Linked DNA regions of Schizosaccharomyces pombe. The gene in region 2 interacts genetically with the main gene of each other region. Each region holds a gene or a part of one and is shown on either strand. Other genes may lie near its edges. The genes, in order: aut12 and met16.

The links.
Region 1: mutations in met16 (region 2) and aut12 together harm fitness more than expected from each alone (negative genetic interaction), as found in Schizosaccharomyces pombe (one large-scale study listed by BioGRID).

The regions. Positions count from the first base shown.
Region 1 is NC_003424.3:641,345-645,866, forward strand, and holds aut12 (autophagy associated protein Aut12), read right to left. Parts: upstream 2,195-4,522; 5' UTR 2,169-2,194; coding exon 874-2,168; intron 788-873; coding exon 541-787; 3' UTR 501-540; downstream 1-500. Other genes in the region: grh1 (GRASP family protein), read right to left, coding at 1-57, 104-283; chaperonin-containing T-complex beta subunit Cct2, read left to right, coding at 3,367-3,369, 3,406-3,537, 3,585-4,522.
Region 2 is NC_003424.3:2,305,494-2,309,473, reverse strand, and holds met16 (phosphoadenosine phosphosulfate reductase), read right to left. Parts: upstream 1,951-3,980; 5' UTR 1,746-1,950; coding exon 945-1,745; 3' UTR 596-944; downstream 1-595. Other genes in the region: arb2 (argonaute binding protein 2), read right to left, coding at 1-215, 262-448; acyl-coA-sterol acyltransferase Are1, read right to left, coding at 2,516-3,980. UniProt on the Schizosaccharomyces pombe protein: The NADP dependent reduction of PAPS into sulfite involves thioredoxin which probably plays the role of a thiol carrier. Required for methionine synthesis.

The DNA.
Region 1 (4,522 bases), 1.7 Mb from region 2:
AGTTACTTCGGGGGAAGAATCACGAAGCAAAGCCATAAACATTGAAGGGTCTCCATTCTGTGAAAAACACTTTAGTAATGATAAAACTATAATCAGTTCATACCAGTAAGATCCCATTCACTGCCGTTATAAAATCGTAATAAGACTCAATTCTGGCATTATAGGCTTTCGAATCGTTTTCAACCTTTAATACTCTGAAACCACATGATTCATCTGATTCTCGATGAATACCAGCTAAAGCTTCTGATTTTTCTTTAATAAAGTTCTTTAAACCACCAAACATTTCGATTGTTTAGTACTTAAATAGGGTTGGTGGTGATTTAGGTAATGGCGCGGTTGACTCGCTATGATATTAAGTTCATACAGTCGGAAATTTATGTGAGTAAAATGATGCTGATATTAATAAATTAAAACAAAAAAAGGAAAAAGAAAAATTAATAAAGCTGTTGGAAGCAATCACCGCTCTTTTAAATATTTTACTGTCAAAACATCATAAAAAATAAAAAGAAATGAATTTCATTAAACTTTACATGCTCATTATCAAAACGAAAGGTTTGTTTGTATAAATAATCGATTCTCCTCCCTTCGTATCCATCTCAAAATCTTATTAACATTTGCAATAAGCAGTTGACTGCTAGTGGTAGCGTTAGCAATACAATGAAAGTCGAACGATGCAGTTGACCACGTGAATAGAAGCAAAGATTCATGGACAGTCATATTAATTGAGAAAGAATTTTTTTTGTGAAATGCCTGGTCGTGTAAGCTAGCATAAATAGCATAAAGAGTTCTAAAAACATAGTTAGCAAAGCAAATGAGCCCAAAGATAGCGATCGTATTGAAATTGTAAAGAAAAATAGATCATTGTATACGTACCTAGTATTGAAATTGGGAGTTGAAAATGAATAGCCAGGAGTATAAAACTGTGAGTATTTCTTTGAATAAAACAAGTAATGTGAAATACAAGGAGATCCGGGATTCCTTGGCGTAGTTCTATCCATTTCTTCACAATAAATGAGCTTTTTCAACCATCCATGATCCTGAATTTCCTGAGCAACTTTGCATTTCACTGATTGCATTTCAAAAAAGACACCACTTTCGCTGCTCCCCATTATCAAGACAGTGTCCTTACATAGGAAATAGCTATAAATGTAAATATAAGCATCTGGATTTAGAGTAGGAAAACAAACAGGCACCCAATGCTCCATTGAATCATTAAAAGACTGTGTGCGGAAGAGTGATAGGAAAAGTAAATAGAGATCATTAGCATGTAATAAAAGCTTCTTCGCCTTAACCATACAAACAAGCCGACCTCGTATAGCTATAAAAGTAAACAGCAGAGATTTGGGTGTTTCTCTCAACAGCAGTTGCGACAGCTGATCACGAAAAGAGGAACGTAAAGGAAGAGGAGATATGGCATTCAATGTGGGGACTAATTCATAATCATTAAGTTGATCACATAGTTCTTTTAGGAACTGCTCGTTGCTTCCAATAAGTCTTCTCAAATCAAAATTTGGGCGGGAGTTTAAGGTCAGCTGCATAGCTTTCGCAGTAACCCCAGTAAGTATTTGGCAATATAAGAGGTTTAACTCACTGAGTAAATATGCTGCGCTTAAAGTTGTCGATGGCGATACGCCAACAAGATAAAGAGGATTTTTGGAGAGAACAACGATAACATTGGAAAAGGTAGAAAAGCTTGTTAGCTCTTCTTTCGACACTTCGAAAGAGCTAATAATTGCTTGTAACGCGCCAACGGTTGATGGCTCAATTGAATCATCAACAATGTTACTAAACACGGGCTTCCCTGATGAAGAGAATATCAAATATGTGCGCTTTTGTTTTGCCAAATCAAAAGATATCAACGAAAGTAGTTTTATAATTTCATCAACAGCCGTATTGTTACTACTGCTCGATACTGAAGTGCTTACATTAAGCGGAGAGGAATTATCATGCAATATATCAGAAAGTAATTGTTCAACGTTTTCCACGTGGCTTCGCAATTCTGGTGTAGACCTGCTTACTTCTTGATCATCCTCTGACACCGAAGGCGCTGCCATTAGAACATTACCAGGGTTTAACAGCAGTGATCCACATTCCGACTCATGAGATCTATGAACGTTATCATTTTCCACTTCCTCCTTGATTGATGAATGCTCAGATGTTGGTTCCATCAACTGGCTGTTTTCATTAGTGGGATGGATTGAATAAGGAGGACTGTAGCTGTTGTAATAATGCTAACCTCGCTTCATTCACTCATTTACGGTTAAAATTAAGGGAAAAGAAGGCGTTTTAAATATTTTGCTTTTTATTGAATAAAAAATAATTATTGATTCTTTAAATAAATGTTGAAACTCAACTTTGCGGTGCAATCATAAAGATATTGTGCCGAAGATGATTTCGTACCTAGTTGTATAGGTAATTCAAAAGGGAAGATTGGAATGGCTGAGTCTTCGGCAAAGAATTTCATATTACAACTAAATGGCATTCAAGATACGTTTACATGGAAGTCAATTGTATACAGAGAACAGTACTGAATTTAAAATAAAACTAATAATTACACGTTCTATGAAATGTACGCGCTCTAAACTAAGAATACTCTTTGGTTAAGAAATTAATGTTAAAAAGCGCTTAGAATATAGCGCTAGATGTATTACTACAAACTGTTTATATTGAGTTATTTAGGAGTGATCACTGATCTATCGTTTCAACTAAAATGCTGCTTATCCTTGACTTCTCAAGGTCTAAGGATGGTATTCACATTTAAAGATCTAGAAACTTGTTGGCTAACTTTTCGAGATGGTTCCATCTAATATTGAATAGAATTGAGATTTGCGCATTGGTTCTTTCAATATCTATATTGCTCCAAAACAAAAACATTAGTCTAGTACTTGTAAGAAAACACAAGTCATACAGGGAATCGAAAATAAAAAATCAGTTGAAATCTTTAATCGACGCTTCATATTTCATTTTGAGCAATAATAAAACACTCGATTAAGCCAACCATCATCTAGTTTGTTGAACATGCTCAGTAGTCGGTATTAACTTCATAGAGACTTGAATAGATATAGGAAATCTTTTAATTTTTTGATATTTTATATTTGAGAGTAATAGAATAGTGTTTTATATAGCAATGCTTAAAAGCTGTCTCATTATTTTCTTTTGCATGAATATGAACGTAAGAGAATGAAATATATATATTATAAAAATATTTGATTATAATATTATTTACGATCCAAAACTAGAAATATACAGTCGCTGGTACATGCCTGGTAAGCTACGGCTTACGTTGTTGCGACGAGCTTCTTGTTCGCTGTAAGCTACTTTCCACTCAACCACCGCAACTCTGGGTTTATCGTACACTATCTGGAAATGGTAATATCATGTGTAAAAACCGTACTAACGATATAGTCTTTAAATCCTCATCAGATTTTTAACGAAAGTGGCATCCAAGAGCGGGGTGAAAATGCCCGTCTTTCATCGTTTGTGGGTGCAATTGCTGTGGGCGATTTGGTAAAAAGCACTTTAGGTCCTAAGGGAATGGTAAGGTCAAATCTACATAGAAAAAATTTTTAATTAACGATTTATAGGACAAAATTTTACAATCAAACTCTTCGGGTGATATTGTTGTGACAAATGACGGTGCTACCATTCTTAAGTCTATAGCTTTGGATAATGCAGCTGCTAAAGTTTTAGTGAATATCTCAAAAGTCCAAGATGATGAAGTTGGCGACGGTACTACCAGTGTGTGTGTCTTCGCTGCTGAACTTCTTCGTCAAGCAGAAATTATGGTCAATGCAAAAATACATCCTCAAGTGATTATCGATGGTTATCGTATTGCTACTAAAACTGCTATCGATGCTCTTCGTGCTTCCTCTATTGATAATTCTAGTGATCCTGCTAAATTTCGTAGTGACCTCGAGAATATTGCCAGAACTACTCTGTCTTCCAAAATCTTATCTCAGAATAAAAACCATTTTGCTCAGCTGGCTGTTGATGCAGTGCTTCGCTTGAAAGGTAGCACGAACTTGGATAACATTCAAATTATTAAGATCCTTGGTGGTAAACTTGATGACTCCTTCCTTGATGAGGGATTTATTCTCAATAAAACTATTGGTGTTAACTGTCCCAAAGTTATGGAAAATGCTAACATTTTAATTGCTAATACGGCTATGGATACGGATAAAGTGAAAGTTTTTGGTGCTAGGGTTCGTGTAGACACAACTGGCAAGCTTGCCGAACTTGAACGCGCTGAGCGCGAGAAAATGAAGGCTAAAGTTGAAAAAATCAAAAGTCATAATATTAATTGCTTCATTAACCGTCAACTCATTTACAATTGGCCAGAGCAGCTGTTCGCTGACGCTGGTATTATGTCCATTGAACATGCAGACTTCGATGGAATTGAGCGGCTGTCTTTGGTCACTGGTGGTGAAATTGCTTCAACTTTTGACCATCCTGAACTTGTCAAATTAGGTCACTGTAAGAAAATTGAGGAGATCATTATCGGTGAAGATAAAATGATCAAGTT
Region 2 (3,980 bases):
TACAGTTGCACGTCTCACATCGCCTTCGCGCAAGTTTCTATTTGACCAGATTAAGGGGTGCGACATTGACTGTATAATTATAACTATTCCATTTTCATTAGTTTGCCAATTTCGTGTTGCATATATCCAACTATGTGGTTCTGACGGTGAAGATTCCAATGGTATAGATATTCGTGTTAGAAGGGAATTTTGTAAAGTCCAACTGTAAACGTGATCTAATTTCAATTGCAAGTTAACTCCTGAATTAAATGATTACCCTACCAAGTACAGCAAAATAGAATTTTTCGTTGTACTCTTTATCTTTGGTAACTTGAAATTCATATAGCTCATTTGGCGCGTTCAACTTCCTCAAGTAAAAATCGTTGGTAATTTGGAGATTCATGTCTTCAAGACAATTCCCAAAGTTGACGTCCCTTTGGAGTACACGGGATTTCTTTTTCCTAAACATATGTAAGGCCTACTTACCAATAATAAATTACGATAAGTCGGTTAGTAGTAGGTGACATTACAAAATAATTGAATGGTGACTCAATTTTTGTTGTTAAAAAATATATATATGAATTTGTAGATCAATACTACATAGTTTATTCTATATATTTAATAAAAAAAAGGAGGAAAGCATTGTAAGTTCATATGGTTTTAGGTCTTCAAATTTCAACGTATAAACCACTTCAATTTTTTGATAATTAAATCATCTTATTTCTAATATATCTATTTGTATAGGTGTAAACACCGAGAAGTTTCTTCATAGTGTATCCCTAACCTTCTTCGTCACGATAATAATTTAACCCATTTACTAAGAATGTATGCTGAAAACCTTCTCACAATGACCAACTAAAACAAAGAGAAACTCTTGAATTGTCTACTTAAAAATGCCGTATTTTTTCATATGGTGCACTTCGATAACAAAAAAGCAGTTTACAACATTGCACAAAAGGATTGTTTCACTGATCAGCCGTCTCCTTCTTTTTAAGCTCCGCCATATATTGTGCGAATTTACTTTGAGGATGACTGTGTAATCCACATTCTGTTTTCTCTCGACCGCGCCAACGTCCGGCACGTTCATCTTCACCTTCTCTAACTGGTTGAGTAGAGTGCCAGTCACCAACTGATCTGTAACCCTTGTTCAGAAGTTCATTATATGGAACGTTGTTTGTAATAATATAATTATGAACTTCAGTAAAAGACCAGTTAGCCAAGGGGTTGATCTTTAATACTGGTCCATCCAGCTGAACAATGGGCAAAGATCCGCGCTCTCCACCTTGACTACGGCGGCGGCCAGTAAACACAGCAAGTACATTTAAGTCAGAATAAGCACGACTTGCTGGTTCCACTTTGACTAAAAAGTCATACCGAGATTCATCTGTCTCCCAAAGCTTCTCACCAAACTTCTGAGCAAATTCCTTTTCGTTGGCTGCTTCAGCACAACGATAGACGTGAACAGGCACGTTAGGATACTTAGTTTTGACTTTTTCAAGAAGATCCAGTGTTTCTGGGAAATGATGAAGTGTGTTGATAAAAATCAGAGGAACATTCATATCCATTTTCGATAACATGTCCATAATAACAAGCCCGGACAGTCCTAACGCAGATGTTTGAAACAAAGAAGGAAGTGTCCAACGGCACCATTTTAAGATATCTTGAGGACTAAGCTCCGATAACTGCTTGTTGATGTATTCGAGATGTTCTGGGTGAAACAAGGTTTTCGCTTGCAATTTATTAGCAGGCGTATCGATTGAGCTCATATTGAGTACAATAAATTAGAAAAACCAAAATTTGGGACGAAATCAATTATGTCGGCGAGGAACCAATGGTTTAAACCGAAGATAAAAAGTCGAAAACTTTTCAAAAAAACCAAAAAAAAAATTTGAGTCGTGTACGCAGAAAAATTTTACTTACACTTACTTTTATAGTTTTATAGAAGCTATTGGTGTGCTCTGTAAGACTTTTAGAGAATAGTCAGACAGGTTTGGAAAATAATTATTACGGAAGATCTGCATCGATGCTTACAAAGGAAGAGGTAACAAGACGATACCTATTTTAGTTGGTAATAGTAAATTGTAGAAAAAAAGAATAAGATCATTAGCATTTAAGTATAGTTAGTGAATTGTATACTAGAATAAATGAATATTATTAAATGTATCAAATACGAGATGAAAGAGAGAGATTTTGCGCATTTTAATGTTACTACACCGTTTTTTTATTTTTGGTTTTAAATTTATAACTCTAATGAACTAAAAATTTCTCTTTAATTATTTCAATAACGTTAGTCAAAGGTTGATGCACAAATCTTTTATAACGTTTTGTATATTATAGTTAATATTAAAGGTGTGTAATAAGGAGACGAAAAAAATTTTTTATGGTATAAACCTTCGTAAATCCAATATGCAAAAAAAGGGCACTTTGTTTTAAGCAATTAATTTACAACTCCAAGAACCAGAATAAATATCCGACAAAAAGGGAATGATAAGAAAAAGTCTTAGCCTAATAAACCCACCAAACTCATAAACAAATACTAAAAGACAATGTATAAGATACATAAAAATGAAGGACCAGTGAACATTCCAATCCAGAAAAACACATTACCAAGGATATCGCGTTTTTTGAAAGCAAACATTTGTTGGAGGTCATAAAGAGGAATTTGTAATAATTGAAATGTTAATATGTAACACCGGAATTTACCAGTTGCGAGCAGCATCACAAATTCGTGTACAAGAGCGGAAATTAAAAAAGTGAGTAGAACAGCGTGAGATTTTTTTAATTTGAAACCGGAAATTGATGAATGGTAAACATGTCTCATGAGAAAAACGTGGACAGGCTTATTCCATTCGCGCGAAAATTCATCCCATGTAACTGTATTCCACCAAGCACCATAAAATCCACGGTCGGCAAATTTAGTGATTTCAGCAAATGCATTAAGAATGCAATCAAAAATCAGGTAAAACATGATAAGGTAAAGTATGATAGCGGGAAACATAATTTTGTTCATTAACAAGGGAGCAATGCGTAGCTTCCCTATGAAGTCAAGATCTTTGACAGCCACAGCACTTGGAACGAAATACCAATCTACAAGAGCCAAGGTGAGAGCTAGTAAACCGAATGTGGAGCCTGCTTTAAATGCCATATAATGCCAACGGAAATGGGCAACTCTAGGAAACTCCATACTATAGACAAGGGATGGAACTAATAAATAATCAACGTAATTAAAGAAATTGATGTTATCAGGATAAACAACATTGCCCACTTCGCTACGCATCTGGCGTGACAAATATTTTGCTGTTAAAGCGACAATTTCTTCTGCCTGCAATGTAGATATCGTTTCAGCAGGCTTATTGGGAAAAGTCAGTTCAAACGTGTATTTCTCATCTTTCTCGGTGGAATTCAGGCATTCACGAACAAACTTTAAAAGTTTTTCGTATTCATTATGCAATATACGAATCTCACTGATATAGCCCATATGGTGAGAATAAGAAAATTGTTTCATAATTAGAACGGCACAATGCAGCGTGAAGAAAACACATTGAACAATTGGAAAATCTCGATGCTTAACCCAATAGACAGCTAACACCATATAAAAGCCCTGCCACAAAGTTTGGATTGTGTAACCCAAATTAGCCCATCTAATCATGTTCTTCTCAATACACACTTGTAAACCATAACTAAAAAAGCTGAGGCAAATCATAAGGAAATCTGAGCTAAACAACACGAAAAACTGGCGAAAGACCTGTCTAGCTAGTGGTAAACCAAGCAAAGTATCGCGTTGCCAATAACTTCTTGCATATAACTGTAGTACCCATGCAGCCATTGAAAGCCAAAAAAGCACATAAAACCCTCTAAACTCACTTTTTGCGAAATAATTAGGATCGGTTACACGATCAAAAATCGATTTACGAGGCTTAAACTTATAATCATGGTAAACTTTTCCTGCAATTAATAATTGTTTATGACGATCCAGAGGAAATTCAACAACGTTTGCGTTA